Linked DNA regions of Ovis aries. The main gene of each other region encodes a partner of the protein of the gene in region 6 in a complex. Links are inferred from orthologs where the notes say so. Each region holds a gene or a part of one and is shown on either strand. Other genes may lie near its edges.

The links.
Region 1: the proteins of SFN (region 6) and YAP1 are in contact, whole or in part, in a crystal structure (PDB 6G6X), measured with the Homo sapiens proteins. The link is inferred for Ovis aries from reciprocal best matches to the Homo sapiens genes SFN and YAP1. Residues at the interface, in NP_006133.1 of Homo sapiens: Lys11, Glu14, Cys38, Glu39, Asn42, Leu43, Val46, Lys49, Arg56, Lys122, Arg129, Tyr130, Gly171, Leu174, Asn175, Val178, Glu182, Leu218, Leu222, Asp225, Asn226, Leu229, Trp230; in NP_001123617.1 of Homo sapiens: Ala125, His126, Ser127, Ser128, Ala130, Ser131, Leu132, Gln133.
Region 2: the proteins of SFN (region 6) and MEFV are in contact, whole or in part, in a crystal structure (PDB 8C28), measured with the Homo sapiens proteins. The link is inferred for Ovis aries from reciprocal best matches to the Homo sapiens genes SFN and MEFV. Residues at the interface, in NP_006133.1 of Homo sapiens: Glu14, Cys38, Asn42, Leu43, Ser45, Val46, Lys49, Arg56, Arg60, Glu115, Phe119, Lys122, Arg129, Tyr130, Pro167, Ile168, Gly171, Leu174, Asn175, Val178, Tyr181, Glu182, Asp215, Ile219, Leu222, Asn226, Leu229, Trp230; in NP_000234.1 of Homo sapiens: Arg205, Asn206, Ala207, Ser208, Ser209, Ala210, Gly211, Arg212, Leu213, Gln214, Gly215.
Region 3: the proteins of SFN (region 6) and PADI6 are in contact, whole or in part, in a crystal structure (PDB 4DAT), measured with the Homo sapiens proteins. The link is inferred for Ovis aries from reciprocal best matches to the Homo sapiens genes SFN and PADI6. Residues at the interface, in NP_006133.1 of Homo sapiens: Lys49, Arg56, Arg60, Lys122, Arg129, Tyr130, Gly171, Leu174, Asn175, Val178, Tyr181, Glu182, Leu222, Asp225, Asn226, Leu229, Trp230; in NP_997304.3 of Homo sapiens: Phe443, Tyr444, Pro445, Ser446, Ala447, Glu448.
Region 4: the proteins of SFN (region 6) and FOXO1 are in contact, whole or in part, in a crystal structure (PDB 8A62), measured with the Homo sapiens proteins. The link is inferred for Ovis aries from reciprocal best matches to the Homo sapiens genes SFN and FOXO1. Residues at the interface, in NP_006133.1 of Homo sapiens: Tyr19, Ser45, Lys49, Asn50, Arg56, Arg60, Lys122, Asp126, Arg129, Tyr130, Glu133, Gly171, Leu174, Asn175, Val178, Tyr181, Glu182, Leu218, Ile219, Leu222, Asp225, Asn226, Leu229, Trp230; in NP_002006.2 of Homo sapiens: Pro20, Arg21, Ser22, Cys23, Thr24, Trp25, Pro26, Leu27, Pro28, Arg29.
Region 5: the proteins of SFN (region 6) and ESRRG are in contact, whole or in part, in a crystal structure (PDB 8BJG), measured with the Homo sapiens proteins. The link is inferred for Ovis aries from reciprocal best matches to the Homo sapiens genes SFN and ESRRG. Residues at the interface, in NP_006133.1 of Homo sapiens: Asn42, Ser45, Val46, Lys49, Arg56, Arg60, Arg129, Tyr130, Glu133, Gly171, Leu174, Asn175, Val178, Glu182, Leu222, Asp225, Asn226, Leu229, Trp230; in NP_001429.2 of Homo sapiens: Arg175, Arg176, Arg177, Lys178, Ser179, Cys180, Gln181, Ala182.
Region 7: the proteins of SFN (region 6) and PIN1 are in contact, whole or in part, in a crystal structure (PDB 7AOG), measured with the Homo sapiens proteins. The link is inferred for Ovis aries from reciprocal best matches to the Homo sapiens genes SFN and PIN1. Residues at the interface, in NP_006133.1 of Homo sapiens: Tyr19, Lys49, Asn50, Arg56, Arg60, Lys122, Asp126, Arg129, Tyr130, Pro167, Gly171, Leu174, Asn175, Val178, Glu182, Ile219, Leu222, Asn226, Leu229, Trp230; in NP_006212.1 of Homo sapiens: Arg68, Arg69, Pro70, Ser71, Ser72, Trp73, Arg74, Glu76.

What each region holds. Positions count from the first base shown.
Region 1 is NC_056068.1:6,333,361-6,337,464, reverse strand, and holds the start of YAP1 (transcriptional coactivator YAP1), read left to right. Parts: upstream 1-1,304; 5' UTR 1,305-1,635; coding exon 1,636-1,953; intron 1,954-4,104. UniProt on the Homo sapiens protein: Transcriptional regulator with dual roles as a coactivator and corepressor. Critical downstream regulatory target in the Hippo signaling pathway, crucial for organ size control and tumor suppression by restricting proliferation and promoting apoptosis.
Region 2 is NC_056077.1:3,239,691-3,243,763, forward strand, and holds the start of MEFV (pyrin), read right to left. Parts: upstream 2,801-4,073; 5' UTR 2,740-2,800; coding exon 2,463-2,739; intron 609-2,462; coding exon 1-608. UniProt on the Homo sapiens protein: Involved in the regulation of innate immunity and the inflammatory response in response to IFNG/IFN-gamma.
Region 3 is NC_056055.1:248,914,560-248,918,786, forward strand, and holds the start of PADI6 (protein-arginine deiminase type-6), read right to left. Parts: upstream 2,801-4,227; 5' UTR 2,746-2,800; coding exon 2,654-2,745; intron 1,953-2,653; coding exon 1,769-1,952; intron 1-1,768. UniProt on the Homo sapiens protein: Structural constituent of cytoplasmic lattices, which plays a key role in early embryonic development. Cytoplasmic lattices consist in fibrous structures found in the cytoplasm of oocytes and preimplantation embryos.
Region 4 is NC_056063.1:22,148,914-22,153,138, reverse strand, and holds the start of FOXO1 (forkhead box protein O1), read right to left. Parts: upstream 2,801-4,225; 5' UTR 2,345-2,800; coding exon 1,676-2,344; intron 1-1,675. UniProt on the Homo sapiens protein: Transcription factor that is the main target of insulin signaling and regulates metabolic homeostasis in response to oxidative stress.
Region 5 is NC_056065.1:19,381,047-19,384,995, forward strand, and holds the start of ESRRG (estrogen-related receptor gamma), read right to left. Parts: upstream 2,801-3,949; 5' UTR 2,647-2,800; coding exon 2,591-2,646; intron 2,506-2,590; exon of another isoform or gene 1-2,505. UniProt on the Homo sapiens protein: Orphan receptor that acts as a transcription activator in the absence of bound ligand. Binds specifically to an estrogen response element and activates reporter genes controlled by estrogen response elements.
Region 6 is NC_056055.1:240,067,325-240,070,479, forward strand, and holds SFN (14-3-3 protein sigma), read right to left. Parts: upstream 1,826-3,155; 5' UTR 1,768-1,825; coding exon 1,021-1,767; 3' UTR 501-1,020; downstream 1-500. UniProt on the Homo sapiens protein: Adapter protein implicated in the regulation of a large spectrum of both general and specialized signaling pathways. Binds to a large number of partners, usually by recognition of a phosphoserine or phosphothreonine motif.
Region 7 is NC_056058.1:12,295,884-12,298,488, forward strand, and holds the end of PIN1 (peptidyl-prolyl cis-trans isomerase NIMA-interacting 1), read left to right. Parts: intron 1-557; coding exon 558-668; intron 669-1,484; coding exon 1,485-1,594; 3' UTR 1,595-2,105; downstream 2,106-2,605. UniProt on the Homo sapiens protein: Peptidyl-prolyl cis/trans isomerase (PPIase) that binds to and isomerizes specific phosphorylated Ser/Thr-Pro (pSer/Thr-Pro) motifs.

The DNA.
Region 1 (4,104 bases), on a different chromosome or scaffold from region 6:
CAATCATTAAAACAGGAAGCTAGTTTTTCTTTATAATGAACTAGTGGATTTAAAATCAGAGTGATGTTGCATAACCCCGTGAATTAACGAAAAATAATGGATTGCTTGCATGGGATATCTCAGTAAAGCAGCTTTTTAAAAAATCAGACTGTATGAAATAAGAAACAAATTTTGGAGAACTCCCTGGCACTCCAGTGGACTCCCTGTTTCCACTGCTGGAGGCACAAGTTCGCAAGCAGCGTGGTCAAACAAACAAAAAACCTTAACACATTTTCATGGCTTTTGAGTGATTTCAAGTGGACTTGCATGTATGACACCGCCACAAAGAGAACCAGGTGCATGGTGTGAGTTCCTCACCCATTTACTTCTTATTCGGTCAACTATCACAAAGTGAAAGTCAAGGTCCCAGGCACAGGGGTAACAAAGAAAGATAGGCTCCCATCCCGTCAAGGATAAGACAGGCACACAGGGCAATACTTGAAACTTGAAGCGTGGGCTTCCCCGTTGAAGTTTTCACGACTATGTGGCAAATCTGAGCACTAAAAAAATGTTTTCAGTTTAAACAAAGGCAATTTTTTGGTTACTTAGTAAATTAGACTGAGTCCCAGATTTAGTCTTTAAGCTTCAAATCACAAAACTGGTTTATGTCTTTCAAGTGGATTTTGCATGTTTAAGAAGTGAAAAGTATCAAGTTCTTTTTTTTTTTTTTTTTTAATGGATCCTTATTAAGTCAATGTGTGTTACGGGTACCATTTTAGGTCCACCCTCGCCGTGAGCCCACAGGAGCACTCCCGTCGGTGCGGTCGGGCTGACGCGGGGCGGGCGTCCGTGGACTCCGCCGTCCCCGCCAGACTCCTTTCTGCCTCAGCTGTCCGGCATCGAGGGGCGAGGGGCGCCGCCGCTCCCGAGGGCTAGGGGGAGGCGGCCAGGCCGGGCGGGCGGCCGGACCCCCCGCGCCCAGGGCGGCCGCGCTCCCGGCGGCGCCCGGGCTCCGACCTGGACCCGCCGCGCGCGCGTCGTCGGGCCGGCGGCTCCCCGGTCGCGGGGCGCCAGGCACGCTCGCAGCCGCGGCCGCGGCTCCGCGAGGCCCCGCGGAGGCCGGGCAGGCGGGCACGCGGGCGGGCGGGGCGGCGGCGGCCGGAGTCCGCAGGAATGCGGCGCCCTCGCCGGGGAAAGTTTCCCTGAGCATCTGGCGCGGGCGGGCGCGCAGAGGAAGGAAGCGCCGCGAGGAGGCGGGGCCGCGGCCGCTCGGGCGGGCGCGTCTCCCAACTTTAGTTTTGGCGTCCGAGGCGAGTTTGCGTCTCAGTCGGGAGCGGCCGCCGCCGGGGAGGAGAAAGGGAGGAAGGAAGGAACAAGGAGAGGAAACCGGGCGAGGGGGAGGGGAGCGGCGCGGGCCGTGCGGCCGCAGCCCGAGCCGAGGGAGCGAGCGCGGGCGCCGCGGGCCCCGGTCTCCGGCGGCCCCTCCCGACGCGCCGCAGGCCCGCGGAGCCGGGCGCGGGGCGGGGGCTGCGGGGCCGCGGCGCAGCCCCCGGCCCTGAGCGCGAGGCCAGCGCCGCGCCCGCTGCTTCCCCCGCCGCGGCCCGTCGAGCCGGGCCGTCCGGGCGGAGCCCGTGCCCGCCGGGTGAGGCAGGAGCCATGGATCCCGGGCCGCCCCCGCCACAGCCAGCCCCCCAGGGCCAGGGGCCGCCGCCCGCACAGGGCCCCCAGGGCCAGGGCCCGCCGTCCGCGCCTGGGCAGCCCGCGCCCCCGGGGCCCCCGGCGGCTCCGCAGGCCCCCCCCGCCGGCCACCAGATCGTGCACGTCCGGGGGGACTCGGAGACCGACCTGGAGGCGCTCTTCAACGCCGTCATGAACCCCAAGACGGCCAACGTGCCGCAGACCGTGCCCATGAGGCTCCGGAAGCTGCCCGACTCCTTCTTCAAGCCTCCCGAGCCCAAATCCCACTCCCGACAGGTAACCGCGCCGCCCGTTTCCCCGTTTCCCCGTTTCCCCGCCGGGTGGGCCCCCGGCGGGGGCGCTCGGGGGGTGCGGGCTCCGGGGGCGCCGGCGGGGCGGGGATGGGCGCGCGCAGGGGCGGGCCGGCCGGGGCGCCGCGCTCCTCCGGAGTCCGAGGCCGAGATTTGTTCCCCCCGCCCCCGGGAGTCCGTCTCGGCGGCTGCAGCCCCCGGGGGCGCGCTTCGCCTGCTCCCTTCTTTCCTCCCCCGCGGGCTCCCGGCGGAGTCGGGGGGAAAGCAGGGGCGGGCGAGGCGGCCGGGCCGCGGGGGGCTCGCACAATACGCGCGCGCCCCGCACCTCCGCTCCCGCCGCCGGGCCGCGAGCGGGGGCGGCCCTGGCTTCCGCGGGCGGAGTCGCGCCCCGAGCCCCCTCTCCTCCAGGGTCTCCCGGGCCCCCTAGTCTCCCCGGGAGGCACGGAGTCGTGCCCTCGTTGGCCAGCGTGGAGCAGAGCCGGGGCTCGAACCGGCCCGGGCGGTCCCGGGCTCTTTGTCCCCCTCCCCCTCCCGGGAGCACTTCTCCTCGCGGCCCCGGCGCTCGCCGAGCACAGGATCCAGACTTTCCTGGAAGTTGTTTATGGAGTTGGGCGCTCTCACCCCGGCCCTTCCCCCTTGCGCTCTGCAACTCGCGCAGGCTCACTCTCCCCGAAACGCAGTGGGCTCACGTGCTGGCTTCCCCACCGCGGACAATTATTTACAGTCCGCTGAAATGCTTTTAAATGGGCCACATCTGCACGGCGCGCGGGCTCTGGGCTGGGTTGCACCGCGCCTGGGGTTTAACACAAGTCTTTGATAACGCTCCGCAGGTTGACTCACAGGCCGAGTCCTGCCTAGTTCAGCTGTGATTAGAAGTTAATGTTTGGGAAGCGATGACTAATTCGAGGCTCGCCATTGCTCTTTAATTCTTACTGAGGATATGAACATGGCTGTCCCACATATACAGCCTTCGATTATTTTGTCAACGTGATCCAGCGTTGAAGTGCAACTGTATATTATGAAAGTGTTAAGATTCCGATCGGTCCCAGAAGATTTGTTTAGGGGAGACTTTTCTTTCTGTCCTTCCTTTTTAAAAAAGAACTTGCTTCAGGCTAAACTTCAGCATAGGAACTTTGCCCAAAAGTTAATTGGTTTTCCAAATAACTGTGATGAAGTTAGTCCACCCGGCTGTAACTTGAGCGGAAAGAACACTTATCGCCCCCACTCCCATCGCCCCTCCTATTTGGAGGCCTGTGATAAGTTCTCCTCCCTCAGACCAAGGGGTTTGGGAACTCAGAAAAACTCACGCTGCTGACAAAAAACCTGGGTTAAGGGAGAGGAAGGAAAAACAATTTAGCTGCTTGCCCTCAATATTTCAGTTTGCAAGAAGTAGACTTGGGTGCGCTTCTCTCTTACCCCTGGAAATGAGTTGCCGGGCTCATGGGTGTTGGCGTTGCACCCCACCGTCTGCACAGCTATGCTGCTGGTTAATATGTTTCAAAAGTATAATACCCATAGGATACTGAATTCCCCATTTTGTGGCATCTGTAAGCCGAAAAGAATTGCCATTGAAAAGTGTACCTATTCTTCTAGTAAATCATTGCATGAAAGTTTGTATCAGCAGTTTATGGATTCATAATATTCACAAGTTACCGTAGTTTTATTTGTTTTAATGCGTTTGTTGACCAAGTGTGCATCTGTAAGTTAGACTTTTATTTCTGCTAATGAGTCCTAAATTCCAATTTATTCTGATTGGAAACTCGGAATATATATGATTTAACATCAAGGCATAGATGCCCTTGCTGATTGCTTTCAGTCTCTCTTCTTGGTTATATGAATCTGGGAAATTTTAACTTTTTGATAAATCAAACCCTAACTCTAATTAAGGAATTTAAATAACTATATTTGCTTATGAATAGTATGAATGGGGGTTGTAAATACTGTTGTTCACAAACTATTGAATATTTGAATATAAGTTCATTTATTGCCTCATTTTTCCATCGTGGGGGGGCGGGGAAAGTATTACAAATGAGAAGTCTTGAGGCTCACAGAGTAAGATACTGTCCAGTGTGTCACACTTACCAGGTTGGACTGAAACCCATATCTTTAGGGTCTGACTTCAGCAGTTTTTCTGCTG
Region 2 (4,073 bases), on a different chromosome or scaffold from region 6:
CACAGTCGGCCCTGTTTTCAGAGTGGCCACTTCGCTGGCAGTGGTTGCTGAGCTTGGATTCTCAGTGTTCATTTTCTCCTGAAGCAGAAGAATTTCTGGATTGAGGGGTCCTGTCTCTTCTGGAGAAATGGTAAATTCAAGACTTTTGGGTCGCTTCTTTCCTGAAGGTAAATACACTTCCGATATCTTTGTTTCTCTCCTTCCTGGGGATCCAGCAAGTGACCCGCTGGTGAGTCCCTGGAGCCTTCCTGCAGAGCTGGCGTTCCTCCGCAGCCTGACGCTAGGACAGCTCCCTTTCTCCTTCTCCCGCAGCACCTTGCCGAGGAAGGGGCTTCTCTTGGAAGACAGAGTCGTGTTCCTGGCCCCCAGCTTGCTCTGCACCTCCAGGCCCTCAGGGCCTTTCTGATCTCGCTGTTTTCCCAGAGGCTTCTTCTGAGACCCCCTGCCAGCCTCAGGCTGGCTGGAGGATGGGCAGCCAGCCCCATCAGCACTTTGTCGCTGTTTGTCACCTTCCAGGCCATCTAGGGTCTTTAGGCTCTTGGGCTTCATCTCCCCAGAGGAACCCGACGTTGCTGAGCTGTCTGTGTCACCTTCTTGTATCCGACACACTGAAAAGACAATGAGATGGAAAGGCATGGGAATGCCCGATACTCAGAGTCAACATTTGGGGAAAGGAAGAGGAGAGAACCCCCTCCGAAATTAGGGGAGTTCGGGAAGTTCTAGACAATGGCAGTCAATTAGCATTTAATAAGATCATATTCATTATCTGCTGTCTTATTTCTGAAGTAGTACTTTTCAAAACTTTTTTAGGCAGAACTATTCTTACATAGAATAGTTTATTGGAATACATTTGTGTGTGAATTACAGATCTACAAAACTCAGTTATCAGTCAATAAAGATAGGCACAGAAGTTTGAAATCAAGGGTCATGAGGGACAGGATGGGGAACACGTGTACACCCGTGGCAGATTCATGTTGATGTATGGCAAAACCAACACAATATTGTAAAGTAATTAGCCTCCAATTAATATAAATAAATTTATATTTAAAAAACTTTAGAAGCGAATTTTTTGCTGTAACTTTGGTTTCATGAAATGAAGAAAATCCTACCTCATCCAGTTTGGTGTAAACAGTTTAAAAAACAAGTTTGCCTGGAAATTTCAGGGCAATATTTAATTAAAGAGAAATGACAGGGCTGAAATTCAAGGTTCCAGAAAAAGTTCAAGTACAATATGAACTATCACACCGATGGCCTCCAATATTTTAAAATTTGGTTAATGGCACATTTTAATATGAATTAGTTAGTTTTGTAAGTTAATTCATAAATTTTGAATCAAGTATTTGCCAACTTTCTAAACAATCCCTGAAATGTCTTCCTGGGATACAATTTGAAAACCGCTACTAAATAAAATAACCTATAATTAGCACCTTAATTTTGGTTTGAAAAACCCCATAGTAAAATTAAGATTGCTTAAAACACTTTGTTGTTGGCTTTCCAGGAAAACATATTTTACAAAAGCTGCCTCAGGAACTGGTGAAAAACCCTGAAGAGGCTCATAAACAAGTTTTAAAATACAAAAAAATTAATTTTAAAATTATCCTCATTAAATTATACCAGGTTCAGGTTATAGATTAGCTTTATCACTCTTTCAAAGAGCAGAGAAATTTTGTTATGTAAACTCTTCTACCTCATAGGAGGACATGAAAAGCATTCCTGGTATATTCTTAAAATCTAGAAATAGAAGAAAATTTAAGACATGAAAGAATAGTTTTTTTAAACTGGTCCCAGAGTAGCACCCCTGCCCCCACCAAATCTCAAAAAAAAAAAAAATAAAACAAAACTCTTGAAAAGTAGAAATCCAACAGACCACATTCTTTGATCACAGTGTAATAAAATCAGAAAGTGACAACAAAGGGGTAGAAGAAGAAGGAAGGAAAAGAGGAAAGAAAGAAAAGATGAAAAAGAAATGAGGGAAAGAAAAGGAAGGAAGGAGAAAGCCCTTTTGAGAATTTTAGAATACTTTTGTGACATGTGTTAGAGGAGAACTCAAAACTGAAAAGAGTTAACAATATTACCCATCAACCCAGTCGATAGGAGTGGTTAGTTTCTTGCTCAACCAAAGACTCATCTGTAGGTGTTAATGACGAAGTGAAGAACTCTACCAGCAGGCATCCAGCTCCTGCCTCTCCTGATCTGGCCCCATAATCAGAACCTCAACCTCCTGGGTTTATTTTTTTAAAGCCACTGGGAGCCTTAGCTTTGCTCCAGCTGCAAAGACCAGAGAAGGGGACAGAACTTGATTGGCTGAAGAAGTCACAGGAGTTGTCGCAGACCTGGGACTCCTGACCCCCAAGTCAGTATGATGCACTGGTCTGAACACAAGTTCCCTCTTGTACCTTCCACCCGACTCCACGAACAGCCAGCAGTTGCACTGAGAGAGGAGGGCACTTGGGGCCGCTTACCTGGGCTGATCAGCTGGTGAAGCTCCTCTGCCAGGAGGTGCTGGTTGATGGCCCTCAGGACCTGCAGGGTCAGCTGCACAGCATACTCCTCCCCGTAGTGGTTGACCAGCAGAGAGGCCAGCTTCACCGGCTCGGCTGTCTGCAGTTGGCCCCGGGGGATCCGGGTGTGCTCCTTCTCCAGGCTGGTGTTCTGCAGCTTGAACTTGAACTTCTCGAAGTCATAGGGCAAAAGCTCCTCCAGGGAATAGAGTAGATGGTCACTCCGGGTCCTGACCATGGTGTTGACCAGGAGAGACTGGAGGCAGTCGTCCTGCTTCTGAGGGAAGAAACTACTGTCTGTCCTGGTGCCCTGAGAGTGAGAAGATGCAGCTTGTGAAATAACGGAAAAGGCACAGGAAATGCTCTGTGTTTTGGTGGGAACTGAGACTCAGGCTGTTAGTGTGTCATTGCTGGCTTGCGTCCTCTTCCTCAAAGAATCAGAGGCTTTTCCAGGTGGGAGGGCTCAATGCCTTGTCAGACACGTGGTGGTCCTGCACGCCAGCTCTCGCTGACCCAGGCTGGACTTCGGAGTGGTGGGTTAGTCTTTGAGGGAGGGTCTGGGATTGGATTTCAGATTCTTGCTCTTTGGAAGCCTCTCAGATGCTTCCCTCCTCCCTCCCAGGAAGGTGGGAGTGAGAGTGAGGGGGAACAGAGTCCCTGGTCCCATGCTGGAGAGAATCATGATAGGGTCAGTCCCTCTGGTCAGCTTCTCTCCTCCAGACTTGGGGTTTTATTGACCCTCTGTAGCCAATGGCAGGAGGATGAGGAGCAGCAGATACAGCCCTGCAAGCTCTGCTCTTCCCTGCCGGAGGAGACAGGTGAGGTCTGGAGGCACGGCAGGAGAAAAGCCCTGGGATAACTCCTTTGGACGTAGTTACAGTTGTCTGGTTCTTCCAGCAACAGAAAGGCCTAGGAATGCCACGCCTGGGATCACCATCGTGATTCGTTTGTCCCAGCGTTGACTCTGCCATGACTTCCTAGGAGCAGACCCCGGAGGGAAAGTGTCATACATGTACGGTTACTGAACACATGTTCTGGACCAGGATGCTGGAGAAACAAGGGTGAAAAAGGTGTCCTTAGGGCTCACAGCCCAGTGTGGGGCCTCAGCCATGGCTCCGAAGCTAATGGAGGTGGTATGGGCGGAGTGACTTCTTCCTCTTTGAATTGCTCTCTGTCTGCTACAATGATTTTTATCCTCAGTTTTGTTTTTGAAAAATTTCAAGTTCACAAAAAAGTTAAGGGCATAGTACAATGAACACGTATATGCTCTCAACCCTTGTTCATCAGTTGTTTATGTATTATTTTTGGTGATTCTCTCCCCTCATGCACATGTGCACACTTCTGTTTTTTCTATTTTGAAGCATTTAGTAATAAGTTGAAAACATATCAGGTATCATTCCAAATACCCTAACCATCCTAAATACTAAGAACAAGAATATGAGGATAATTACTTATGTATTTATTTATGGCCATGCCTCAAGGCTTGTGGAATGGAATCTTAATTCCCCGACTGGAGATTGATCCTGGGCCACAGCAGAGAAAGCATGAAGTCCCAACCACTGGGCCACCAGG
Region 3 (4,227 bases), about 8.8 Mb from region 6:
CCTGTCCCTGGCTCTGGCCGTTTGCCTTCGGTCTCACGCCACAACTTCTGAGCTTCCAGTGACTCCCGGGAGTGAGCACAGGGTCACTGGGCTGTTAGAGCCCCCGGGTGTGACGCGCCACGACCCTCCACCAAGCCCTTCCACACCGAGGCCTCACCACTGCCCGTCCAGGCGGGCTCTAACCACAGGGCAGAGAAGTCAGGACTGAACTATTGGCCAGTAAAAGGGGTGGAACAGGACTTAGGATCTGGGCTGTGCAGCTCTAGAGGTCAAGCTTTAAGTTGCCCTCCATGTCCTGCCTGCTACACCACCCCTCCTGGGACCCCACAAGATGGGCTGTGAGGCTGTGGGGCCTCCAATGGGCCAAGCTGCCCAGAAAGAGGCCGCTGGGGGCGGGGGCTGCCTGTCCTGGGTCTCACAGCGACCTCTGCTTGCAGAGGAGTCTTCGTACTTTCGAGAAAGCCCTGCCCTTCAGCCTCTGGCCTTGACCACAGGCCTTCATCTCGAACCACAGAACTAGCCATTAGCTGGGGCCCGAGGTAAGCGTCTGAGTCCTAGTGCTGCTGGAGGCGGAGCGCTGGGCAGAGACGCTTCTCAGGTGCTCTGGGCTCAGCTGGGCCACATCACAGCCTCAGTCCTTCTCTGAGACGCTTGATAAGTGTCCTACCTGTCTCTTGGGCTTCCCTGTGGCTCAGCTGGTAAAGGATCCGCCTGCAATGCGGGTCACCTGGGTTCAATTCCTTGGTTGGGAAGATGCCCTGGAGAAGGGTAAGGCTACGCATTCCAGGATTCTGGCCTGGAGAATTCCATGGACTGTATAGTCCATGGGGCCGCAAAGAGTTGGACACGACTGAGCGACTTTTTCACCTGCCTGTTGGTGAGTCACCTGCCCTGGGCACCGGTGGAGGAGGTGTGTATACTCCCTCTCAGTCATCCCAGCTTAGCCCCCTACTGACTCTCCTCTGGAACGTTCTGGCAAAAGTCCCCCAGTCCTAAACATGCCTCCCTCAGCTGTGCTGCCTCAGCCTCACACTGGGGTCAGCTGGAGCTATGAGGCTCAGAGGATGGTTTGGTTGGCAGGGGCCGAGGCCTGGGCATCAGGTGATTTTAATTACTCAGCCGCCACTAACCGCTCAGATTCAGCTGAGCCCATTGCACGAGCTGAGAGTCCATCTCTCTGCCACGGGTCCCATCTGGGCAGCATCCTGCCCAGAGGATAGGGCATGGGCTTGGGCTCGGATCCTGGGTCTGTCCCGTTAGGGTGTGGCTCCGTTTCCTCACACATGAGCAGAGGGAACGCCGACCTTGGGAGACGTGATTCAGTACCTGGTACTCAGCATCAGACCCGTGGTAGCTCTTAAGTTTCATCAAGAGGCTCCATATCTGAGAGACCAGCCTTAGCCAAAAAGCCCATCTGAGTCCTACTGCTGAAACTTTTTAGGCCAGACCTTAAAAAAGCTGACTTGGAAGCTAGTGTGGTGGTCAGAAGCGTGAATGGGGGAGACAGACACACCTGAGCTTGAATCCCTGCTCAGCCAGTTATTGGCCTGGGCAGGGTGCTTCCCTGACTCTGTGCCTCAGTTTCTTTGTCTGTAAAACGGGGTCACAGGTTGGCTGCAAGCACTGAATGCGATCAGACAAAGCGTTTGGCTCTGAATTTTCAGACTCTGCGCTCAGGAGGCCCCAGCTGCCAGGAGGGAGGCCCCAGGGCTTGCGTCAGCTCCTCCCGGAAGAGCTGCCCTCACCTCCCCCACCACCCAAGGCCTACCTTGCCCTCGTCCTCCGCGAAGTTGGGGGACGTCATTGCCACCAGCACGTCCGTGGGGCGCGACAGGGGCCAGCGGGGCGCGGCCGGCCCCTCCCTGCTCTCCACCGGGTCTGCGCCGCAGACGCGGACCACAACGCCCAGAGACGCGTCCACGGAGAAGGACTCACACGCCGGCGGGGCGCACCTGGGGGCCGGCGAGCAGACAGAGCTTGGCGCACAGGCCCCACCTTCTTGGCCCGGAGTGCAGCTGGAGGGGGTGCCCCCAGCCTCTCTGCTGCTGAAGCCCCCCAACTCACGGTCAAGGCACTTTTGGGTCCTAACACATCAGCCTTCCCCTCACCACATCCTGCTCCCAGGACCTCCATGCCGGCCCCGCGACAAGCTGCCGCCCAGACCCCCGCCTCCCGAGGATGCTCTGGAAGTTGCTAACCTACATCTTATTCTTGAAGGCCCACCTTCCTGGGAGGGGAGGGCCCCTTGTCTGAGCCATGAGGGATCCCTACGGGGGAAAAGCAAGGCCTGGCAGGTCTGTGCCGGGGCCGGGGGAAGGCAGGGGCCCTGAGAGTCACCTCCCACCACAGCTCCAGCTCACAGGAGCCTGCTTCATCAGTCCGCACGGCCGCCTCGGGGGTCATCCTCACCCCCTTTCATGGGGAAGGGGACCGAGAGAGGGCAACGCACGTGCTTCCAAGGTCCCACAGCCTAGGAGCAGCAGAAGCAGGACCGGGAGGCCCTTAAAGACCCGACCTCGGCTCCTTGAGATGGAGCAGGACAGCGGGGTAGGTACAGAGCGAGCAGTGAGCCCCCGACTCCCGCGTAAGCCAAGGATGCCCCAGGTAAGGATCCTCGCCAGCCTCCCCGCCCAGACCTCTCCCAGCTCCTCACCCACTGACGTCTAAGAAGAGCTCCACGCCCAGCACACACACAGCGTGGGTTGGGCTGTCCAGGGACAGAGGGACGATGTTCCGGAAGGCCATGGCACGGCCCTCTGGGCTGACCACCCCACCCGGCACGGCAACCTCTGACAACCCCGAGGCTGCGCCCACTGCCTGCCCCTCTTATGGGTTCAGGGGCCTCCAGCCCGCCCCCTTGTTAAGGAGGCTGTAGCAGCTGCCAGAGTGTAACTGATTTCCTCCGCAGAGGTTTGCTGGGAGGAGAGGCGCTGCTGAGGTGCAGCTGGGGTCAGAGCCGGGGCAGCACCAATTCATTAAGCAGCTAGTGCCTGCAGCTCTGCAGGGGCTGGGGCTGGCTGCCTGGAGCTCTGGCCTCCAGCTGGAAAGCTGGTGCCTGGGATTGGTCAACCTGGCCTCGGCGCTGGAGGCTTAACTAAGCTGGGAGCTGTCTGGAGCAAGGATCTGCAGGGGGGTGCGTGGGGCGCTGGTCAGGAGAGGGCACGGGGCAGCCCCTCTAGACTTTGAGGCCTCGGTCGTAAGGTGTGGGTTTCCTGGAAAGTGGTAAGTGATGGACCAGTGGTTCCCAGGGCTCTGAAGCTGACTAGGGGATGGCGCCTGTGAAAGCCTCGAACCCCTGGGGGTGGTCCAGGCAGCTGCGTGCCCTCCCCAGGGGATTAGGGGGCTCCTTGAGCACAGCTGTGTCATCAGCGCCCAGCAGGGGGCGGGCAGGGATTGGTGGAAAGAGCGGACGAAGGGCCCCCGCTGAGCAAGGTCGCCAGCAGCTCCGCATCTCCGCCGAGTTCACTGAGCCAAGAAATGGGAACACCTGCTCTAGCCCACGAGGCTCGCCAGCGAAGTTTAAGACTTTAAGTGTGGGTTAATCCAGCACTTTGGCCACCTCATGCGAAGAGCTGACCCATTGGAAAAGACCCTGATGCTGGGAGGGATCAGGGGCAGGAGGAGAAGGGGACGACAGAGGATGAGATGGCTGGATGGCATCACGGACTCGATGGACGTGAGTCTGAGTGAACTCCGGGACTTGGTGATGGACAGGGCGGCCGGGCATGCTCCGATTCACGGGGTCGCAAAGAGTCGGACACAGCTGAGCGACTGAACTGAACTGAACTGATGGTTCTTGAATACATATGACAGGCACATGCGTCCAAGTTCAAAAGGCGGCTTGCAACACAGTTTCCCTCCTTCTGTCTCTCCCGTTAGTTCCCTAATGTGGAGGCAGCCAACAGCATCGGCATCAGGTTCTTCTAAATCTTTCCAAACAAACGTTACAGGTCCCCAAGCCAACGGGAACCTATGTCCTCCCTCCTCTTCACTTCTCTGCTGCTCAGGGCTCCATACCTAGCTGCTTACTTCGCAGCGTAGCTCGGAGGCTCTTCATATCACGTATGTATGAGGTCTGTAAGAAGCACCCCGGCCCCTTTTATGTCTGTGTAGCCTTCCGGGCGAGTCTGCTTCACCATGCGCAGGCATTTGTCCCGACCTTTCGCCCTGACATGATGCTGTGATGATTAAGCTGTGTATAACACCCTGGGGGGACATAAACTGGGT
Region 4 (4,225 bases), on a different chromosome or scaffold from region 6:
AATGAATGAGATTATCTGTGAGGCTTTTACTCCAAAACACACTTTGGAAGAAATAAGATCCTGGCTCCTTCTCCACGAGTTTCAATACGATGTGATTAACTTAACCTTTCCGACACACATTAACCACTGGGATGACACTGTATGTAAAACCACCTTGCTGTAACAAGTGCGCAGCAAAGAAAAATACTACGCAGTACAGTCCAGATGAGGAGTGAGGAAGGAGTCTACATCAACTACAGAACCTTCACGTCCATCCTTTCACCTGTGACACTGAGAAACTGCCAGATCCTGGAAGCCGCAGGGCGGACGGAAGGCCGGTCGGCCTCCCCTGAGCACCCCAGGGCCTTCTCCACCTCTCGGTAGGGATGAACCTGCCCCCTCCAGGGTCTCTCCTGGTGGGTATCAGTCTCTCTCTCTCCAGAAAGGCAAAAAGGGCCAGAGGCACTTCATCTACAGGGTCTCCGGCGATGCAGGAGGTTCCTCCGGTTCCCTAGATTCGAACCTCCACTGCAACTCTTCCAAAACACTGGTCTCAAAGCCCCCTGCCTTGCCTCTCGGATCTGCACCTCCGTGCCAAGACGGAAAAGCAACAGAGGACACATGTTCCCAGCGCCGGGCATCCAGGGGAGCCTCTCTGCGCCTAATTAAAGGCCTTGAACCTAGGGCGAGGCCAAGTTTGCGGGGCACTTCCTGGCGCGGAGAAGCGCTGGCCTCGCCGCCCCGCGGCCCGGGCCCGGCGGCGCGCGCGGCCAGAACGCGCTGGCCCTTTAAAGGCGCTAGCTTCCTGCGCCCGCGGCCCCTCCCTCGCCGTCGCCAGCTCCCGCCCCCGCCGAGGGTCATACTTGAACTTTAGCTCGCCCCGCGCGGCCCGGCGCCGGCGCTTCGCCGGCGGTGGCCGCCCCTTCGCACGTGTCGGAGGCGCTACCTCTGGCTGGGTGCGCCCGGCCCCCGGCACTCGAGGCTACTTCGAAACGCAATCGAAACAAAACAAAATGCACGCTGGCCTCCCAAAACGGCGCGTTCGGCCCCACGGACCTCCTGGCTGGCGCCCTGCCTGTACCCTCCACCTGCAGCTCCGTTCTAGGGCGGCGGGGCTCCGAGGCCCCCATCGCCGCGCCCTCCTCCGCCCCGCGCGGCGGAAACGGCTCCGCGGGGCGTCCCTGAGCTTGGGGGTGGGGAACGAGCGCCGCGTGGGCGGCGCAGAGCCGCCCTCACCCTTGATGTCCTAGGGGGGCAATATGAGCAGCGGCTGGAGTCCGCGCGAGCCGAGGGGGAGCCGTTCCCAGTGAACCCCCCGCCCCACCCCTCTTTCACGGGCGAACTTTTCTGGCCGCTCGGAGGTCCACTTCTTGGCGTCCTTTTTCTCACCCGCTCTGGTCCCAGCGAGCCCCTTCCCTGTCCGGCTCCAACTCTCACTAGAGCGCGCGCACACACACTCATTTCTGCCCCCCGCCCCCCTCGACGGGTCCCGGGCAAGCCCACGACCCACCTCTGCCACTCTCGCCCTCACCCTGCACGCGCTACCCGCGTGCCTTGCACTTTCAGGCCAAGAAAACTTGTACCGGCGGGCCCCCGTCCCCCGTCCTCTGCCCCGCAGCGACCTCAGACGGAGGCCGGCTCCCCCGGACACCCACCCACCCCTCCCGCTCCGGCCGTGCGCCCGGAGGCCGCTCACCTTCCAGCCCGCCGAGCTGTTGCTGTCGCCCTTATCCTTGAAGTAGGGCACGCTCTTGACCATCCACTCGTAGATCTGCGACAGCGTGAGCCGCTTTTCGGCCGAGCTCTCGATGGCCTTGGTGATGAGGTCGGCGTAGGACAGGTTGCCCCACGCGTTGCGGCGGGACGAGCTGCTCTTGCGCGGCTGCCCCGCGAGCGGCCCGCCGGCGGCGGCGGCCGCGGCGGGAGGCACGGGCGGGTGCTGCGACAGCGGGCCGGGCGGCGGGGGCTGCGGCGGCGCCGAGTGCAGGCAGCCCGCCTCCGGGCCCTGGAAGTCGCCACACAGCCCCCCGGTGGCAGCAGCTGCGGCCGCCGCAGCAGCCGCCGCCACCGCCGCCGCCGCCGCCGCGGCTGCCGCCACGGAGCCGGGCGCCTGTTGGAAGTCCCCGCTCTCCTCCAGCAGGCTCAGGCTGCTCATGAAGTCGGCATTGACAGCGGCCGCCGAGGCCGAGGGCAGGCCCGCGGCGCCGTCGGGGTTCGCCGCTGCGCCGCCCGACGGCGCCGGGCTGGAGGTGGCCGAGTTGGACTGGCTAAACTCCGGCCGGGGCAGCGGCCAGGTGCACGAGCGCGGCCGGGGCAGCGGCTCGAAGTCCGGGTCGATCTCCACCACCTGGGGCGCTTCGGCCATGGTGACCCCCCCACCCTTCCCCCAGCCGCGGGACTTGCCCAGAAGTGAGAAAAGCGCAGCACCGGGCAGGGGGGGGCGGCGCCGAGGGGAGAGAGGGCGCCGAGAGCCTGTCCGAGATCTGCGGGAAGGGGTGAGGTCGGTGCAGCGAGCGGACGGAAACCCGGAGGGAGGCGCGGCGGCGGCGGAGTGGAAGCGCGAGCCCAGAACTTAACTTCACGGCTCCGTCCGCATCTAGGCGCCTCCGGGTCCGCTGCACTGACGGGACGGCAGGCCAGAGTCGTCGGGGCCCCGACAGCGCTGGCGTCGCTCTCCGCGCCGAACGACGGACGGACGGACGGACGCCGCGGGCCGCTTGCTCTCCCCGGGCGGGCGCGACCGCGGCGCTGCTGCCTGTTGAATGCTGCGGCGGCGGCGGCGGCAGCAGCGACTACGCGGCCGCCCCGACTTACGGGATCTGCCGCCGCCCCCCGCCGGCGGCGGCGGCGGCGCGCGCGCCGGCCCGCCCCTGACGGACGGCCCCTGCGACCAATGAAAGTGCGGCGGCGGCGCCCGGGCCGCCAATGGGCGCCGGCCTGGGCGGGGCTCGGTTTTCCACGGGGAGGCGGCAGTGGGTTGGTTGGTGGGGGGTAGTAGGGTGTTTTTCTATTTGACATGCACAGTCTCTCCCTCGCTCGCTCGCTCTCTGTTTTTTGGGTTTTTTTTTTTTTTTGGCTCTCTGTTATTATTTTCTGGTAATTCTCGAGTGTTTCTGTGAGTCTTTCGCCCTCTCAGTGTTTTGATTGCTAGGAGGCAAACCAACGTGGAGGCGGCGGCGACACTTTGTTTACTACTGAGGAGCCCAGCCGAGTACTCGGGAAGCCCGAGTGGAACGAGCCGCCCGCTTCGCCTCGACCTGCGCTCGGGAGCCCGAAGCTGGGCCGGGCGGGGGCCGGGGACAATCAGCGCTCAGGGGGCCGCCGGGTGGGTGGGTGCGTGGGCGGGCGGAGGCGGCCTCGTCGGAGTTCTGCTCACTCGCCCCCTCTCGACTCCGCCCACGATTTCTCTGCAGAGAAACGTGGGCAAGTCGGTGGGTTTTGTTTTTATTTGGTTTGGTTGGTTGTTTTTTGTTTTTTTTTTTTCCTTTCCCTGCGATGTGTCGAGTTCTCCGGCCCCGGGCGCGGGCCGCACACACGCTTGTCCCCACCCCCGCGCGGGGCCCGGGCTCTGACTGCCGAGTCGGCGGGGAGGACCCAGCCGCCGCCGCAGCGCCGGGAACCCACCTTTCCGCACCAGCGAGCTGAGCCTCGGCGGTCGGTGTAGACTAGTGGGGGGGTTGGCGGTGGGGGGCGCCGTTGGCCAGACGAGCCGCCCCGAGCCGGGTTCACGGGGGCTCGGCCCCGGCCGAAGACGATTGCTCCTGCACACGCATCCTCAGAGCCGAAGGCAGCCTCAACCCTCGTGCCCTCCGTGGGAACCTGTTCCCCTGGGCAGGAACCTCAGACTGTCCACTGAGTCAGTCCGGGACGACGGGGAAGGCGGGGTCAGAGGAGAGCACTTAGGGAGAGCCTTGTCACTTTATTACTTACTTACACTAAATTCGATTGTTTGCTTGTCATTGCTTTGCTATTTAGAATGCAAGTGCTGAGACGTTGAGAGGTGAAAACCTAACAGGGGACAGTACCAAAGGCTTGAGGCGAAGCCCTGCCCCACTCCCAGGTGTTGCTTTAGGCTGCTTGTCCCGCGTGTCAATCACTGCCCCCTCCCATCCCACCCCACCTCGCTCCATCTGGGCTCTAGGTCCAGGCTGTCCTGCCAAGATCAGTGGGGGCCAAAGGAAGACAATGGCCCTTGTGTCTCAGGGAGCAGAAGAAATACTTGTCAAGTTTTGTTTTGCTCTTTTTA
Region 5 (3,949 bases), on a different chromosome or scaffold from region 6:
AGAGGAAACCTTACAAAATAAAACTTGCATAGCTCCAAACAGGAATTTTAAAAAAACAAACACAAATCTGCTTAATTTTTGAGGTCTGGATTTTCATGATCAGGTCTGGATTTTCATGATCAGGCTGAAATTCAAATACTAAACTGTTCCCTCCTAGCCTTGCCTGTTTTGGAGTGTTTCAATTGCCTTTCCTTCTTCCAACAGCTGTGACAACTGCTAAAACAGTCAGTAAAATTAAGTCCGCTCTATAATCCTGTAGTCAATGTTACATTTTAATCAGAGGTTGAAAGAGAACCGTGATGAGCACACTCATTTAGAATGATTAGACTGACACATATGTCAAAATGAGCAGATATATTATTTTCATCTATTTATGCTATCAGTTATTACTGCTATTAAATGTGAAACAAGCTTTCAAGTATTATGCTCTTTAATGCACTGGCACATTTCCCAAAATTAAAAAAAAAACAACATAGTTATAGGTTAACATTTTAGGCTCTCCTAATGGTGGTCAATAAATTGAAGGAATCTTTTCAACAGCCTCCACAGCAGAAATTGTCCAATATTCTCCTCTGAAACTGCATAACTCTGGTTTCATTTCTGTGTATACACACACGTGATGGGGTTTAACCCAGCACAATTACTATGAATATTAATAGCATGTATAAATTCTGTGGTTTATTAATTGAGACAGAGAGGCAGATGCGTTACTAAGCATTAGATCTTTCTGTCTGTCCAGTGAACCACGTAACCATCAGAGCTGCATCCAAACAATAAATCTGTATTTTTTAAAGATGACTTTTAATTGAGCCAAAAAGGAAAGCTAGTTTGAATCTTGCGCCAAAGCCAAAAGGACATGTGTCCTGATTTCATTTAAATACATCTGCTTTAAGAGGCTTATCGAAACTAATTATTCAAATTAGCTATAAGAAGTTAAATTCAAGGAAACTATTTTACAAAGAAGGCTAGGGGAAGAAGGCAGATTTTTAAAGTTTGTTTTGTTTATTTATTTATGAGAGAAAGTTCTGAATTGGGTGAGCTTGGATAATGCATTCTTCCTGACATGAAGGTGTATTAAATTCTCCAGTGCTACAGCCTCAGGTGTACTAACCTTCAAACTCCACTTGAGTGGGCAGTCCTACCTTTGTTTATTTCTCATTTTTATTTTCACACAATTTAAGGTTTCTTCCTTGGAGCATTTGCAACTGACGCAAGCACTGCCTTCCAATCTTTCGGTTCTTCCTAAGTCCATCCCTGGGCTAACATCCCTGGTGTGAGTGTGTATGCGTGCAAGCACATCTACAGACAGGCATACACACACACACTCAAACATATGAGGAGCCACTGAGACTGCAAGTCACTTTTCATCTCTTGCTTAATTACAAAGCAAGGCAATATGCAGTCACTAAGGACCGCTAGTGGACATCTACCTATAATGCATGACCTCCTCCTCTCGAGGGTTTTATGTTTTCTTCACAATCTAGGGAGAACTGTTTGCCAAGAGCACTCTTTTCAGAATTATAACAGTTGGTATTACTGTAATGGGAAAGCAAAGCCATATAACTGACTCAACAGAAAGAGGAACCAGTGACAGTTACTGTGATAAACTAGTATTTTATCTTAACAGTGGGTTGAAATTAAGTTTACGACCTACTCATTTTTACCCAAGAATGCCTGATTTACTCCTTTTACCCCCTACTCACTTCCCCCCGACCCTGAGCAATACAAATATGTATATTTCCATGGGCATAAAGATATTCATAAATATGAATGAAACTGCATCTAAGGACAAAAGTACTTTTCTGCATTTTCTGGACATGATACACGAAACAAATCCACAATCTCAGCATCGTCTGTTCAAGGAGAAATTTAAAAAGTCACTACTGTTTCTTCTTTAGTTTAGTTTTTTTTTTTTCTCCCTTTAAATATTTATAGCGTGTGAAAAATCTCATGTTACTTAATGGACTGATTTGTCAGTTAAGTGCTGACTTAATGCTAACCATGCAAATAACATTATTCTAGCCCCGGCTTGCATAGGGCTAGTTTTTAAATTGTTCTCTGAAGGAGAATTAGTAAATGTGCAATTTTGCCTCTAACTCTGAGCGGTAAGAAATGACGGGGAGCTGAAAATATCTGTCAAGCTGCAAATACATAAGAGGCACTCAATAGTATAAATCATTTTGAATATTGTATTTTAAAACATCTTTCCTTGGGAAAATGGGTCCTAGTAAAAGATGCATTTTAACAGTTCACTAAGCATTTGTGCCAAGTGCCTATTCTTAGCACCTGAATAAGAAGTGACTGTCACACAGCTGTTTTACTGACAGTCACTGAGCTTTGCCTCAAAGGTAACATTGTAGTCAGAGAACAATTCTCGACTTCCTGAATTAGGAGATCACCCTCAACACAAAAGGCACAAGACAGACACAAACAAGCACTCGTGCACACGAAATACCCAGGACATTACCTGATTCAGTGCGCCAAGATCCATTCCGTCCACCCCCCAAACCACCCCCCCCCCGCCCCGCCATACACACAAACACGCGCACCCCCACGACGAGTTTTAAAAAGGAAAGAAAAAGGTACCTACTCTTCCTCGTAGTGCAGGGAAAAAGATTCAGGAAGGCAAAGTTCTACCGAATCCATGTGCGACCGGCAACCATTATTTGTGTACCCCCGCTATAAATCAAAGTTTCCTTGACAGAGCACAGTGCAATTAACACAAATGTTCTCCTAGTGACAAGCCTATAGGCACAGCCAGTTGGGACCAGAGCTCTCACACTCTCCTAATCAAGGACTTAAAGCCCCGATTGGAGCTTATTAATATGAAGTAGAGCTTAACATATGCAGTCCCACCGGCCCAGGCGCGCAGCCGATTGGGGGGCGGCTGCCCAATCAGGAGGGAGGCGACGGGAGGCTGCGAGGAGCCGCGGAACCAGGCAGGTACGAAGGGTGCAGAGACGCGACCCGGCTAGAAACTGAGCGCGAGAGAAAAGGGAGCGGGGACCAGAGATCCGGACGCTCCGGGCAGATACTGCGCCAGGCCCGCGCTTGCTTGCTCTTTCTTTTTCTCTCTTCTCTCCTCCCGTGGGAAGCTAGAAAAGAAACCTAACTAATTTAACCCTCCAAGCCCCGGAGGGATCTGTCTTGGGTTTCTCACCCAAGATCTCTTTTTGCCTTGCCCAGAAGAACTCACGCAGACTCTCAGAGTTAATTTGGGAAAGGATTCTGCGGAAGGTAGAGAATGAAGTTTGTCCTGCCGTTGTCTGTGTTTGATTCCACCGGGGAGGGGGCTCCTGCTTATTGAGTGCTGTACTTTCTCATTGATCCGTCATCGTGTTGTCGTCTGTTTCTCTGATCTAGACTGGGCATTTAAAAAAAAAAAAATCCAAGATATGACTTCTAAATTGTTCGAGCATGCGAAGTGGGAATCGTCCTCTGAGGTGGATTGCAGTTTTACATCACTACAGAAGAGGAGAGTGCCTCAATGCAATTTTCGAAAATGCCTATGTAAATTCTATATGTAAATATTTCTTTACCTGCTCCCCCTCTCTCTACCTATAGATATACAATGTATAGCTTTTCAAAACAAAGATAAAACAACTGCGGGACAAATTGGCTCCTCCAGTTTCAGGAGTAGGAGACAGGGCTGCTGGGTAGCTAGTGCATTGAAAACGTCTCAGTGCATTTTGACAAAATAAAGACTGCATTTTTTTTTTTTTCCCTGTAGGGAAAGCAGTGCTAACCAGCGCACTGAAAGTGTTCTTAGTCATACATTTATTTCAATACAAGCTTCCAAACTGGGAAACATATACAAACACATATGATTTTTACCCCAAACATCAGCTTTCAAATAAAATGTAGTTTATGTATTTGTCAATTATACATAACACACCCTGAATGCTTTAAAAAATCAACTCAGAAACATTTCGTAAATCATCACACAGTT
Region 6 (3,155 bases):
AGTTGCACTTCTTCGTCAACGGCCTGTTTTATTTTGTCCCCATCTCCGAACATTGGAAGGCGGTCTTCTCCTCAGACCTGAGCTTTTAATGGCGGCGTCATACCCGCCCCCTGGTGATACTTCCCTCCGCTCAGATCTGATGGGACTGTTCCCCGCTTTCAGGTCTGAGGTGCTCAGTGCCGCTCACTGCGGCGTACCCCTCCGACCTCACCCCGGAGACTGTCCCCTCACACCTGAGCGCTTCAGCCTCCCACCCCACGTTCCTGGCAGAGGAGTCTCCAAGCCGCCTTGGCGCTGCTCACCCGACCCTCCCGGGATAGGACCAGTTTGAGGGGACTAGACCAGACCCTGATGGAGAGGGCTGGATCCCCAGCCTCTCTCCTGGCTCCAGAGTCTTGCCTGCGAGTCACTGAGCCAGCCCCAAGGAGGTCAGGGTCTCTGTAACTCACACACCAATCCCTGTCCCGCCCTTCCGCAATAACTGAAAAAGACAGGCGGAGTGTCACAGGGCAACTTTATTGAGAGGAAACATGGTCACACCCAGCAGACATGCTCTCCCTCTCATCCTGGGTCCTGGTTGCTGCACAACACACACACACACACACAGGCGCACACACACACCTTCATCACCAACCTCTGCCACACAGTTCGGTTTTCAGCTCTAAGGATGGGACACTCCTCAATTCCTAAGATCCATAGGTAGCAGGGGCGGGAGGGGGTTGGAGTGGGGAGGAAGTGGTCAGGGTGGGGGGGGGGGTGTCTGGGACGGGGGGCGGGGGTGGAGACAGAGCAGGGCTGGATGATGACCAGTGGCCAGGAGCCCCTGACAGCTGCAGGAAGTATGGAATCCTCTGGCTCCAGGGGGACTCGGCTCTGCTTGTTCCTCTCTATGGAGCCTTTCTGAGCTGGGCCAGAGCGTTTGGGGAGAAGGGTCGGACCTCCCACCCCATACAAGTCCTCTCTGCCGGGAGTGGGGGACTGGAGCGGGCAGGGTAGGGCAGGGCGTGCAGCGGGTGCGGCTCAGCTCTGGGGCTCCTCGGGAGCCTCGCCCCCTTCTTCCCCAGCGTTGTCGGCCGTCCACAGCGTCAGGTTGTCTCGCAACAGCTGCATGATGAGGGTGCTGTCTTTGTAGGAGTCCTCGCTGAGGGTGTGCAGGTCGGCCATGGCCTCGTCGAAGGTGGTCTTGGCCAGAGAGATGGCCTCCTCGGGGCTGTTGGCGATCTCATAGTGGAAGACGGAAAAGTTCAGGGCCAGGCCCAGGCGGATGGGGTTGGTGGGCGGCATCTCCTTCTTGCTGATGTCCATGGCCTCCTGGTAGGCCGACCGGGCTGAGTCGATGATGCGCTTCTTGTCGTCGCCAGTGGCCACTTCGGCCAGGTAGCGGTAGTAGTCGCCCTTCATTTTCAGGTAGAAGACCCGACTTTCGGCGTCACCGGCCTCCTTGATGAGGTGGGTGTCCAGCAAGCCCAGCACTGTGTCGCACACGCCCCGGAGCTCCGTCTCCACCTTCTCTCGGTACTCTTGCACCTCCGGGCCCTTCTCTTCCGAGCTTTCTTCATTGCTCTTTTGCTCGATACTGGACAGGACCCTCCACGCCGCCCGCTGGCCACCCACCACGTTCTTGTAGGCCACTGAAAGCAGGTTGCGCTCTTCGCAGGATAGCTCCTCGCCCTTTTCCACAGCGCTCTTCATGAAAGCTGCCATGTCTTCATAGCGTTCGGCCTGCTCGGCTAACTTGGCCTTCTGGATCAGACTGGCTCTCTCCATGGCTCTGGGGACAGGCAGACAGGCGGGCGGCGGGCTAACTGGCTGCCTCGGAACCAAGGCCGGGTTCTGTGCCTCTCCTGCTCTCTGCCCGCCTTTTGGCTGGAAGGCCAGGCCCAGAGAAGGGTGGGAGGGGCAGAGGGCGGGGCTAGGGCCCCGGACCTGCCTCCCTCTCCTCTTCGCCCCCACACCCTTTCCGCTCTTCCTTAAAGGTAAAAGGGCTTGGATGGCGGGTAGGGAGGCGGGGGCCGGGGGTGAGTCATCCGGACTGTCAGCGGGAGAGATTTGGGCGTTGGCCTCACCTGCACCGACACCTTTCCAGGCCCCAGGCTGCCCGCTCTGGTTCAGGGCTTCTATTACATGCCTACCGTAGGTAGCTGTCCCAGTTGCTGAAATCAGATCCTCCTTCACCGTGTTCTTACACGGGTTGAGGATGGCTTCAGCTACCTGGCCGCTATGGGCCTAGGCAGAGCCCATAAAGCCAGGTGCAGGAGGATGCGGTTCCCAGTCCTGCCAGGTGTGTTTCCCATATTGGTTCAGGAGGGATAACTCTTTGTTTAGGTAGGGCGGTAGCTAGCTTCCCAAGCGCCTTCATACCCATGATCTAACTTAATCTAACCTGCTCTGTCTGTGTGAAATGGGCAAGTCTGTGACACTACTCCCACTGTAGAGGCGGGACCGCTTTAAGGCTCAGAGAAAGATGAGAGTTGCTCACAGTCACACAGCTACTAAATTTGGCTTTGCTCCCATCAAGTCTTTTGACTTGTGAGCTCCAGACTATTTAAAAGTGACATGCAGGCTTCTTCCAGAGTCTACCTGAAATGGTTCTACCCACCACCCCTCACTCCTCCTCAGGATCCTGTCCCCTCTGAGCTCCCAGAATGCAAAAGTGGCAGCTTTCAGAGTGCCACTTAATGAGGTGTTTAACGAGCGGCCTCTGACGCTCTGGCCTAGCCTTTGTAATTAGTCACCCAGTAGGTTTTTTGGATACCTTCCCCATCACAGCACAATTTTCCCTTTCAAGTTGGTGGCCTGTTGCCACTTGTCTGAGGACTTGCCCTCTGGCTGTCCACACCAGGTCACCTGCCCCCCCTGTCTGCCATCATGTGTCAGTGGGGCGCACAGAGGGTGGGGACCCAGCTCACTGGCTGTTCCACTTTCCTGCCTAACTCAGCCCCGCCCTCTGTCAGAGGCAGGGATGCCCGCCACCTGGGTACCCTGCCCAGCTGGGTACCAGGAGGGGGGGAAACGCTAGCAACTGGGGAGAAAAGACAGGACCAAGGCGATGGAGGCGGCTGTGATGCATGTCGTTTCGTTTTATGGGGCAGCAGTCCCAGCTGAGCGCTGCCTTCCTCTTCCCCCCAGCTGAATGAGCCTGCCTCTCAGAAGTT
Region 7 (2,605 bases), on a different chromosome or scaffold from region 6:
CTATGGCCTCCTGCCTCTAGAAAATTTTCCTTTTACTGCCTGAGGCGTCCCAGTGTCCCTTTTTATTTTTATTTTCTTGGCTGTGCTGCTGTGGGATCTTAATTCCCAACCAGGGGTCAAACCTGTGCCCCGTACGTTGGAAGCCCCGAGTCTTAACTGCTGGACCGCAGGGAAGTCCCCCAGTGCTCCTTTGTAACGTCCGTCCTGCCTTCTGTCCTCCCCAGCAGAGCCTGGAGGTAGACTTCCTCTCAGTGTGTGGGGGTAGGTAGAGGCCATGCCATGTTCATTATGTGTTCCTGTGTGTGTAGGGAGGGGGGTTACAGAGAAGGGGTTGTAGGACTGGGTAGGAGACCAGCTGCTCTTGAGGTCACCACAGGGTCATGGGGTGCATGCCTGTCATGGGTGTGTATGGCTCCGGCTGTGGTTGTGCATGCACGCTCATGCACACACGATTAGCAGGGGTTGCGGGCTCCTTTCTGAGTGAAGTGCTGCCCTGCCCGGAACCCTCCGCCCACCCCGCCCTGACGAGGAGGCCTCCCTTTGTGTCCCCCTTGCAGGCTACATCCAGAAGATTAAGTCTGGAGAGGAGGACTTTGAATCTCTGGCCTCACAGTTCAGCGACTGCAGCTCCGCCAAGGCCAGGGGAGACCTGGGTGCCTTCAGCAGAGGTGCGCAAAGAATGGGCACCCCTGAACCCCAGCAAGACCCTCTGACCCACTGGCACCTGCACCCCACCTAGAGGGATGGCCCGTGTCACACTGTCCCCTGGGGTCCACCAGGTGGCAGCAGAGTCCCTTCCTCAGGCTGCAGAGTCTTCTCCCCGGTGGTGGCATTTCTCTCGGGGTGGGGCATCCATCTGTGTGTGTCTCTGCTCAGTTGTCCCCATCACAGACCCACCAAGGTGGGTGCCTGCTGCCATTTCCCTCTCTTCCTGTTGAGGTGCAAAGCTGGGGCCCCTAAGAGTCCCAGAGCACATCCCCCAGAATCCTCTGCCCACCCTCCTGGGTGGAGAAACCAGGAGTGAGGGGAGGAGGGGGTCAGATCAGCAACCCTGCCAAGTTCAGGCCTCTCCACCTGGGACTGTGGGAAGGGAGGAGCAGAGGGAACCAGGCCGCCGCCGCCTCCCCCCTTCGTCCTGGGGTCTCTAGAGCATCAAGGAAGGGCCCAAAATAGGCTGAGGGGTGTTTGGGAGCCAGCAAGGGGCTGTGGGCCAGGGAGACCAGCTCCTCGGTAAAGCTCCTCTCTCAGTGCACAGAGGAGACAGCCACTGTGCCTCGTTCTTCATGCTGTCCTCAGCTTCCTGGGGCCTCCCTAATAGCCTTGCCACCCCCAGCTGCGCCCAGCTCAGGCGCCGTGGCAGGGCCGGAAAGTGCATGACGGATGAGTCAGAATGAGGGCCCTGGGGGCGCAGTGGGAGCCCCGTCTGCCCAGTCCCACCTGCAGGTCTGGACCCCACCCGCCACCTCTCCTGCTTCCTCCCCCAGGTCAGATGCAGAAGCCATTTGAAGACGCCTCCTTCGCGCTGCGGACAGGGGAGATGAGCGGGCCCGTGTTCACAGATTCGGGCATCCACATCATCCTTCGCACGGAGTGAGGGGTGTGGATGGCCCAGGCCTGGCCCCCTGGGGGAGACAGGTGGGACGGGGTGGCTGGGCCCGCAGACTCCGCTCCCTGCTGCCGGCCAACCAGTGGGGACCCCTCCCTTCTGTCACACAGTATTTATTGATCCCAGAATGGCTGGGAGGGGCCCCTTCACCACCGGGTGCTCCCTGTCCGCTCCTATTGGGGCTGTCCCTGCTAGACTCCCCTCCCCTTTAGGAATCGACTTCAGAAGGGCACAGGGTGGAGAGGCTCCCTGGGCTCCCAGGGCCAGGGTTGGGGGTGACCTGTCCCAAAGAGAAGGCCTAATTAGCTGAGCTGCCCCTGTGCCACCCCAGGTCCAGGATGGGGTCAGGTGGGCCTTGAGTTGTTGCTGGTTGGGCCGTGTTCCTCTGTTCAGTTGTAAAAAGCAGACGCTCTGCGTGGGGCCCAGGCTGCTGGCTGCTATGGGGCCTCTAAGCAGCCATGCAGCGCCTTCCCCACCCTTGATTAAACCTGGAACCACTGCTCTGCTGTCTGGCATTTCATTTCCCACCCCCAGGGCAGCGATCATCTCCCACCACCCCTGGTGTCAGGTGTCCAGGCCATGTTCCCTCCCTGGGAAGCTGCTCCTTTCCCTGGGCCTGGGGTGCTTCATAGCAGCAGCAGACTCTCAGGGAAGTGGAACAACCGCGGTCCTCAAACTTGGGTGTTCAGGAATGTTCCAGAATGCAAGGGCCCTGACCGCACAGCTCTGGGTTCAGCAGGTCAGGTGGAACAGGAGAATCCTCAGGGAACCCAAGTGAAGTCCCCGTTCACCCTTGGTGCTCTCGGTGCCGTGCCCCCCCAAACACACCCCACTTCAGTTGGAACAAAATACTCCCAACACTCCGATGCCCACTCCCCTGTCACCGTAAGCATTCTGCCAGGACCCGGGCACCTCTGCAGATGCTAATTCCATGGCAACGGGGGCCAGTGAGAGGGCACTGCCAGATGTCTCTGAGAGCAGGGGTCCTGCCCAGCCTTC